2 linked regions of the Nothobranchius furzeri genome follow. The protein of the gene in region 1 purifies or fractionates together with the protein of each later gene. This does not show direct contact. Links are inferred from orthologs where the notes say so. Each region holds a gene or a part of one and is shown in the gene's direction. Other genes may lie near its edges.

Evidence for each region. The genes of interacting proteins can lie anywhere in the genome.
Region 2: the proteins of pnkp (region 1) and xrcc4 purify together in Homo sapiens (co-immunoprecipitation; 5 studies listed by BioGRID and IntAct, counting the BioPlex papers as one, with this or other methods). This does not show direct contact. The link is inferred for Nothobranchius furzeri from reciprocal best matches to the Homo sapiens genes PNKP and XRCC4.

Annotation. Positions count from the first base shown.
Region 1 is NC_091753.1:66,377,246-66,381,919, reverse strand, and holds part of pnkp (bifunctional polynucleotide phosphatase/kinase), read left to right. Parts: intron 1-3,180; coding exon 3,181-3,227; intron 3,228-3,411; coding exon 3,412-3,705; intron 3,706-3,769; coding exon 3,770-4,021; intron 4,022-4,674. UniProt on the Homo sapiens protein: Plays a key role in the repair of DNA damage, functioning as part of both the non-homologous end-joining (NHEJ) and base excision repair (BER) pathways.
Region 2 is NC_091746.1:37,569,040-37,574,356, reverse strand, and holds the start of xrcc4 (DNA repair protein XRCC4), read left to right. Parts: upstream 1-1,655; 5' UTR 1,656-1,783; intron 1,784-5,317.

The DNA of each region.
Region 1 (4,674 bases):
TCCTTTTTCTGGGTAATGTGTTAAACTCTATTTCTACAAAATGATAGGAGGAAACTGATAAAGGAGTGGCTGGCTCTGTGCTAAAGTCTTTACCTTGTAACTAGATATTTTAAAAAAAATTGGTTTAACACTTAAAATAAAAAAAAAATTCTCACTGAATGTAAAATTGTATTTTGATAGGTCCATTTTGATTTGGGGGCTTTAAAAGGAACTCCTGCTATGAGGACGCGTGTGCTCTAATAAGCCACACGTTTTCTGTTGTACCAAACTATGTTGTTAGAAACACAAAATATTGCTGTTTATTTATAAATCTATAATATTTAGCACATTTTTGGACATACGTAGGATGCCATGTTTTCCGCATGCTATGCACTCTGGGGGTGATGATGTATATTGGTTGCTCTTGGAAGAATAGCTATTGACGCTAGTGTTTGTTTACATGCTCACTGTATTAATAATGAAGTAAAATGCCGCATTGTGCTGCTTTTGGATGTAATTTCCAGTCAAAGAGCAACAAGGGGAGTGATGTGAGTTTACACAGCTGTAGAGTTAAATCTGCATACTGGAATCACCTCTGTTGCTATTCAGTGGAGATTCCGAAGAATGACCAATCAGATTAATTTATGAGGCTTAGATCATATATAAATACCCTGGATACCTATATATGGCTGTTATGATCTTGAGCAGACATCTTGGCTCCTTGGGTTAATCTGTGGATCCAAAAGTACTGTTTGACCCAGCTTGACCCAGCTGGGCAAATGTGACCTTTGCCACAAATCAGAGAATCTGCATCACGCTACACAGCTTTCCCACTGGCAAGAAGAGGAGAAAGCAGTGGGAAGAGGCCTGTGGACGGACACAACTTCCCAAAGATCCGCGGTTGTGTTCCCAACATTTTTCTCCTGATGCGTTTGAGGCTTATAGTCGACCACAACGACTTAAAGAGCTCACCAGAGTGGTTGGGTGTAAGAGAAGGTGGAAACTAAATGCTTTAGCGACCATTTCCCCACACAAGGAGCCTAAAAGCCCTCGGAGAGACAAGAGATGCTGGATGCTCTCCTGAACCGACAACCCGCTCCTTCAGCTGCCGCTTCTGTCATGTTCAGCCAACCATCGGACACGCCACTTGTCACGGATGTAGCTGAACGTTCACCTCTCCCATCAGTAAAACAAGCAGTAAGTGTAGCAACACAGTGTTGTCTACATATATAATATCTGCAATAGGGATGGGTACCTTTGACATTTGAATCGATCCGGTACTAATTCCCGGTACCTACGAATCGATACCGGTACTTAACGGTACCAATTTTCGATACTTTTGAGTGTTTATTTTAATTCTCTTTTATAATTAAATATATATTTTTCTCTATATATAACAATATTTGATGAATATCACGATAAATAACATTCAACTGTTTGTATTTTAACATGGTCCTTGTAGTTTTATAAGTTGATAATTAAACTGAAGCAAACATCTTTACTGTGAACTAAATTTACTGTGTATCTTCATTCCTTTTGCCGTCTTTTTTCATTTGATTTCTCCTACTGGGAAGTTAGAATTTCCGAGGAGAAAGCGAACGCACCATTAGCTGATAACAACGGCAACGGTGGCAATGGAAGCTAACATATTAAGCTAACGTTAACTTTAACAGTTTATTTAACTGCTGGAGCAGATTAAAACGATGATGCCTCACACTTAGATCGTTGTCGCTGGTTTCTTCTTCACCCAATCACCCGTCGCATTTAGTGAAGTGAAGCCAAACTTTAGAGCGCATTCATGTTCTTCTAGGCGGAAATTCGGAGTTCCGAGGAGAAAGCGAACGCACCATTAGCGAAACGGAAGCTAACATATCAAGGTAACGTTATCTTAAACATTTTATTTACCTACCGGAACAGATTAAGATGAGGATGACTCACTTAGATCATTGTCGCTGGTTTCATCACCCAGTTACCCATCACATTTAGTGAAGTAGACCCAAGCGTTAGCGTGCGTTCTTTCTACCCATGCTGCTCTGTTTACAACTCACTCGCAGGGACCGACGACATAACGCTCTTGCGCATGCGCAGCTGTCTAGGCAAGTTCTCGTTATGATGGACGGGTACCGAAAGGAGGCACCGTTTGAAACGACGTGAATCGGTGCTCGGTCGGTACTATGGAATTTGGTTGGTACCTTAAAAAGTACCGAATTCGGTACCCATCCCTAATCTGCAACAATGATTAAAGTGGTTTCACTGAACATCCTGATCATCTATGAAGCACACGACAGCTCTGGATGCTAATAATCTCCTAAATCATTCATAACTGAATAAGTTTGATCACACGAAAGCTTACCGTTAACTTCTGCTGACAAATGTGAGCACTCTCCCTCAGTTACCATGGAGACCCATTTGCCGCACATGCGCCACCGGTGTTGTCCAGCTCTCGCTTCATCCCGCCCTTCCTGCTCTTCATGTTGACTCTCGTCTTGTGAAACGTGGTCAGTGATGTCACCATTAATGTTTCACTCTGGTTCAAAGTGAAAAGGCTGAACAGATGACGTGTTGATGTCGCTGAACAATCACTACAGGGTCCCAAAGCCAACCGGTGCTACCGAGGTACAACCAATTGATGTCACTACCCAGAGTGCATTGCGATGCTAACAACAATGGCGACCTATGAGTTAAACTATTTTTACTAATTTTATAAAAATGAAGACATTAAGAAGGTTTTTTACACCATTTTAATATAACTGATACTAACATTTATCTTTTAAGAACCACACAGTTTTGTAACCTGGGTTCCTTTTAAACAAATTAAATTTAATAGGAAATGTTAAAGATGTCAGAGGGTTTTTTGTCATATTTATAAATGATAGATACATTTCCAGATCAGTGGTCCTCAATAGGCGGCCCGCAGACCGAACCCCCCTGTTTTGTCTGAAGTTAAACCAGGAGGGGACAGGTGCTGTGCTTCATTATATTGTAAGCTTGTGTGTTTTGTGCAGTACAGCAAGCGCTAGAAACACCCCCCCACCCCGACATTCCTACAGCACTGCCCCGGTCCGTACCTCTTGCTCCTGGGTCTGTTTGTTGAGTGGCCCTCGGACCATTATAATTGAGGACCCCCTGTTCTAAATGATATAAAACTGTTGTGTGGTTGGGTTGAGCTGCACATGTCATCTCCTCCTGTTTTCCTTACAGTGAAGGTGGTGGCTTGTTATGCAGACCTGGATGTGGTCGTTACTCAGGTATGAGAGGAAACTCAGCTGTCATTTGACTCAACATTTAACTTCTAACGATTCTTAGAAACTAGTGTTGGTGCCAGCATGGCCTTGCTGCCCCCTCTGCTCTCACCCTGCTTATCTAAACCCATAAAAACTAAATAAATGTTATCAGGTCTGCGGTTCAACGTCCACACGTATCCTTCCGCAGCTTGGTGCCAATCCCAGTTTCCTTGATGGTGAGAAGCTGGGACGGGGCCAGTCTGGGAAACTTGCCCAGGGAGGCACGCTGTACCTGGTGGACCAGAACCACCCATTCACACTCACCTTCTCCCTGAGCTCCAAAGCACAAGACCCCAACATGCCCAGGAGGAGCTTGAAAGCCACGGATAAGACCAATGGAGGGAGGAACGGGACGCAGAGGGATATTAAGCCCAGTCTCACGTCTAAACACAGTATAAAAGATTTCTTCTCCAGCTCTCCCTCTAAGGCAAAACATGGACAGGTATACCTGTTTCTGTCATGTTATTAATAATAGAAGGTATAAGACTTAATGTGTTTTTCTGAAGTTCTCTAAAAGGCAGCTGAGCCCAGAGAGCAGACTCCCTGAGGGCAAGCGGCAAAAGTTGGAGGAGGAGGAAGAGGAGAGAATCATCGAGGATAAGCTCAAACATCTGCAAGAGTTTGCTGAAAAGTCTGTGACAGATGAAAGCAAAGACGACCCGTCTCCATCGTTGGTGCGTGGGGGTGTGAGGAGCAGCTGGCAGCAGATAGGAGCCCTGATGGTTTACACTGCTGAGGGGGTCACAGGGAGCAGCAAGGTTTAAATTCACTTATTTTTACTGAAACCCTTTTTTGTTTAACCCCCCCACCCACTGTCCTAATGGGTGACCCCGTGAGGAAAGTTTACCATTGAGCAGGGTTGATGGTTTATCTCTTGAGGTCCACGTGGCAGGGGTCAGGGGGTGCTCACTCCTCACTCCTGCCATGCGGACCTCAAGGGATAAACCATCAATCCTGCTCAATAGTCAACTTTCCCCGCGGGGTCACCCATTAGGACAGTGGGAGGGCTAATAGTTTGAATGCTATTACAGCATTCAAGCTAAAGTGTTCCCGTTTCTCTTTTTTATTATGTCTTCTTTTTTCTTCCATACATTTTTGGAACCGTTTCAGTGTTTCCCCTAGAAATGTTTCCACCCTTGGGGTGGGGGGGTGTCATAGTCGTGGCGCTAGAATTTCAGGCGCACCAGAACAGATGTAGGGGTAACACAACTACCTCAGATTTTCAGCTATTTCAGCAAATTTGGTATGAAAACGTTCAACTCGGTGAGCTCTTTCCTTGCGTTACATTTGGCATTGATATCTTTAAAGAGCAAGTCACACCAAAAGCAACTTTTTTTGTTGTTAACTTGTATAAATGAGTATCTAAAAGTGTTGTAGGCATATGTAGTCATTATTTTTGCATTTTGATGAA
Region 2 (5,317 bases), on another chromosome or scaffold:
ATTGATGATAATTCATGTTCCTTTTGTGAGAAGGATGTTGAAACAACTGATCATATTTTCTTTGAATGCAACAAGACACGGACGTTTTGGAACTGTTTTGAAAACTGGATTCAACCTCAAATTGGAATCCCATGTCCCATTTCAAGAGATGTCGTCACCTTTGGAACTCTCCTTCAAACAAACAACCAAGAACTCTGCTACAATCTACTTCTCTATCTGGCAAAATTCTTCATACATAAACAAAAAATACTGAAATCACCCCCTGTGTTTAATGCATTTGAACATGATTTTAGATTGTATCTAAGATCCCTTAAATGTGTCAATAATAACAGCTATGAAGATATGTATAGACTGTTGTGTAGACTTCCTGGAACTGTGTAGTGATCCCTTGCATTGTTTGTTTTTGTGTATTTTTTTTTGTCCTCCCCCTTTTCACTGACTGTTCGATTCTCATCTGAATACATTGGCATGTTCGCCTTATTTATAATGTAAATATGCTTTTCTGCAATAAAAAAAGGTCCTACTCACTGGCATGCTGAATCCAGCCTCATGCAGTTAGCTGAGACGGCTTCCAGATGTCTGAGAAAACACTAGTTTTCTGTATTAGTTTTATTAGTTTAATCAATGGTTGATGTTATTATTGGTCTAAAAACAGCTGAAGAATATTGAAATTTTGTTGTGGCTCAGATTTTACTATGCTACATTACAATAAAACAACCCCCTTTCTGACTTGCTGTGTCTGCCAGTCAATTTGTGGCCAAACAGATTTTAGAGTATCTGCTCCTAAAACTGTTCTTTATGTTGACGGTGTGGAAGAACTCATGATCTGACGCTTTTCTCCTTCACCGTCTCTGACGGCTGGTGTTCAGACTGAGACCAAGTCAGATTTCAACCAGCTGTTTTTGTCTTCACATGATAAATGTGTGTCTAATGTCCATGTCATCATACCTCATCGAACTTCAGAGGTGATTTCATAATCTGATATCAAAAACCCCTATTCCTGTGTTTCTAATGATAAAGCCATGAACCAATCACACCTACAGTTTGTGTGACGGTTAGTGCTTTGATCAAAATGTCTATAATCTCAACAAATTCTTAACTTGGCAAGATGGTGTAAAGTGGTTTGTGTTTACCATGAAGATCCTGTCTATTGAAGTACAGATAAAACACTACCTATATGGCCAAATAAATACCGTCATGAAAAATTAAAATTTAATTATATTGTGGGGGGTTTCCATTCTTACTTCAAACATCTAGACAGCACTGAAAAACCATTTTAGGGTTTTAACAGTGTAACCACTGAAGGATCCATGACTACCCACTAACAGTGGGTTAATTGGGATCAGAGGTAACTGGATTGGTTTTATTATCTGAATGATGAAAGTTTCTTTGTAAATATTAGAAACTTTTTTGTGCACCCCGGCTCCTTTTTCCTGTGGTGTTCCACAGGGTTTAATCTCTGCACTACTGCAACTAATGTGGGATCTAAAGAAAACATCAAAAATTTCCAAAAACTTCACAAATGGTAGTACAATTGTTTAGATTTTAATACTTAACAGCTAAAATGTCTACCAAAAACATAAATAAATAAATAAATAAATAAATAAATAAATTACAGCTATTTGATCTCACATGCCTGTGAAAAAAATACTGCTCTATTGTGTCGCTTGCTGATGACGTCACATCGCAGGCGCCGGTTGAATCTTAAAACAGTTGCTAAAAGAGTGAAAACTTGGATTTTTCCTTAAAAAGCAGCTACCAACGTGATCCGGTACCACTGGAGGTAGGGCAAAAACTATCATGGTGTCTTTTTTATGCGAACGAGCTTTTTTTTTGCTCATCTTCTCACGTGTCGGCATCCGACTTTTGTTTACAAACAGCTCTGACATCTGAGAACTAGTTAACCTAGCTGCTGCTAGTTCGTTCGTGGTAACGCTAGATTATATCTTTAGCTCTACTTTGAAGGGTTAGGACTTAGTCAGAAATTTTATTTTTCTCTCCGGGGTTTAAAATCAGGTAGACGCAGCCAGTAAATAAAAGCAAAACAACAAACAAATTAGAAACATCAGCAGTAGATGAACAGATGTTAATGCTAATATCTGTGAAGGTGCATGAAAACACTTCCAAATTTATTTTAAGTTTATTATTTGAAATTGATTAAGTCATTAGAAGATGATAATTTTAATTTTTACTTACAAAGAAAGTTAGCAAAATGTGTTGGACTTGGTTTTCACACGTCTGTCTTTTGATAAGTACAGTATGCTATGACTTTAAGAATTGTCAATGTATTTTTTTCATTATCATTTATTAAATGTTTTATCATGATCACCTTGTCCAGATAAATAAATGTCCACTGGCATTTTATGGTCATATTCTCAGATATCCACGTTATATCTGACAGCTTCCCAAATCACCGTATTGAGGCTTTTTAGGGAGTTTATTTTACGTTTTGATGAACTGCTTTTGTTTTCACAATCTTGATAAAGTTATTCTTCTTGTTCTGTCCTCACTCTGGTCTTTATTACCCTATTTATTAATTTTCTGAGCTGTTTAGACTGGTTTGCAGGTAGCTGGTGCCTATCTCCAACATTCAAAAGGATGTTTACAATAATTTACATAATGTATTGTGCAAAGATTCCTCACCTTAGTCCTCATTAGATAAAACAAGACATTTGACGGTCCTAAGTATCTTTTATTAGTATTTATCTGTATTTTGAAGGCTATCTTGCCCCTACTTTAACCTAAATCTAGACCATTTGATGTATTTTTTTTATATTTGCGGACTTCATAAAGGATTTAGGTAATAGTAAAAACACTGTTTTCCCTCCATGTTCAAAACTGTTTAAATGGTTAGTCCATCTTCATGTAACCATGTCATCACTCCTAAGAAAGCACCAGTGGTTCAATATGGAGTCTTGTCCATCCATTCCATCCATTTTCTGCAGCAGCAAACTGTCCCCATTATAAACAGTGTTGGTAGTGCACTGATTTTGTCTCCTGAGGTGCAGAATGGTGGACCAGAATCTCTTCAAAGCCATATGGAAGTCTTGCTCCATGGTCTCATCGAACTCCTCCCATGCCCGGGTTTTTACCTCTGTGACCACCCGGGCTGCATTCCGCTTGTGTACCCATCAGCTGCCATGCGTCGAGGCGGGTCCGACTATTTCTAGTCAGAACCTCTCAACCTCGTACACCAACTCAGGCTCCTTCCCCACCAGAGATGTAACATTCCACGTACCGAGAGCCAGCTTCTGTAGCCGAGGATTTCAAGTGGCGCTCGCTGCAGAACCACAAAGGCGGAGCTGCACCAGAGTCAGCCCCGCCCATTCCAGAATCAGCCCCGCCCATTCCATCAGAGTCAGTCCAATTCCTTCCAGTTGTCAGACTTAATAGCATTCTGGAACCAAAGAGGGTGTTATATATCATCCAAAATGCAAGATTGAGGACTGAGTCGAGAGGTTACTTGAACCGTTTTTGTAAAGGTTCCATATAATTAAAGATCTAACTTTTGGAACTTTTTATCATCTTATATTGTCATTTCCTCATAATCAATCAATCAAAGATACTTTATTAATCCCAGAGGGAAATTAGAGAAACACGCCAAAGCCATTTTTGGCCTCATTCACACATTTACCTCCCATCTCAGCTTCAATTTGGTCCTCTTCTCCGAAGCGGGTCTGGTCTTGGTTCTCAAATCTGAATATTCTGTGAATTTTCTGACAAATTATTTCTGAAATGGCTTCTACTGAGACGCCGCCGAAAAACCATACATCCTGTCTACAAAAACACACTGGATGGGACAATTACATGTGACGCCACTAGCCTGTTACCAGATGTAGTGGTGAAGTGGTTGGGCAGTCAGCTTGGCATGTAGTTTTGCGCAGGTTCGCCTCCCGGTAGCGGCGCAAACTTTTTTCTTCTTTTCTAGCTACACTTGCCAGTACTATGTTTACAACCATTTATTGGTATACCGTTTAAAATATGACTAATGTGTTTTTTATTTATTCATTCATTTATTTAGCCAGTGTGAGTCCATTTATGAGCAGAGTTTCAACTAAAACGCTGTTTAGAAATGACCAAATTCAAATAACTTGTAGAGACATAAATATTTTGCAGAAAATAAACATTACAACTAAAATATAAACAAATTAAATGTTTCAGCTGGCTAAATAGATTGCTGCCAACCCCACCGAGAGTCGAACCAGCATCAGCTGAGGGGAAAGCAAAACTTAAATTTTGACGATCTTGCCACTAGACTACCATAGCCCACTAAATAATTATCCTTACAGTAAGTGCTGTTGTAGGCCGGTTCTGTTGGAGCAGCTATGGGCTAATATTCGCTAAAAGAAACCTTTTCTTTTCAGGATATATTCAGGCTTTGTCATGTAGCAAGTTATATTTGTCTTGCTTAATTGGAGCATAGAACATAGCATTAACAACTGTAAACTAGTAACAGCCGTAATTCATGTGGGTCAGGTTAGTTTGCGATAAAATAATATAAAAAAAAAACAACAGAAAAAGTCAGTAGGCTAGGCTGTTTGCGTGAGTGGGTGGGGCTGACTGGTGCAGCTCTGCCTTTGTGGTTCCGCAGCGAGCACCCTCTCGAGGATTTGACCGCCAAGGTCCCCACCTTCGGCTACCACCAATCACACATTGCACCCGATCCCTTTGGCTCTCCCATATGCGTGTGACCCAGCCGGGCTCCTCGAGTGAAACCTGAGGTTTCACCCCTGGCCAACAGGCGTTTGCCGACGTGCCCCACCTCCTGGCCTGTCTCCATAGGGCGGCCCCGATGACCCGCGTCTGGGCAGGGGAACACTGTTTCCATTTGTCTTGTTCTTCATAAAGGGTCTGTGGGCGCAACTTTGACTGATCCCTCACCTAGGACCTGTTTGCCATGGGTGACCATACCAGAGGCATAAAGCCTCAGACAACTTAGCTCCTAGGATTATTGGGACATTCAAACCGCTCCATCACAGTAAGGTGGCAGCCCAAGGAGGGGTATTGAGTCTTGTTTTGGCTGTACTTGGAGCCACATCCACTCATCACTTGTTCCACCAGATGGAGAAACCCTCTAAAGCTAGACACGGCTGTGTGCCATTTGTTGCATTTAGTTCAGTGTTCTTTGGAAAATGATTTGGCAGAGCTCCTGACTGTGCGAAGAAAACAGAAAAAAAAATCTGCTCTTGATGGACACGAGCTGCTGGGGATTTTTTTGTTTTTATCAGCATTTTACTGAATCTGAGCAGCTTTTCTCCTGTGTTCTCCTGGAGCTGCATCTGTCTTCTGTCACACACACACACACACGCGCACACAC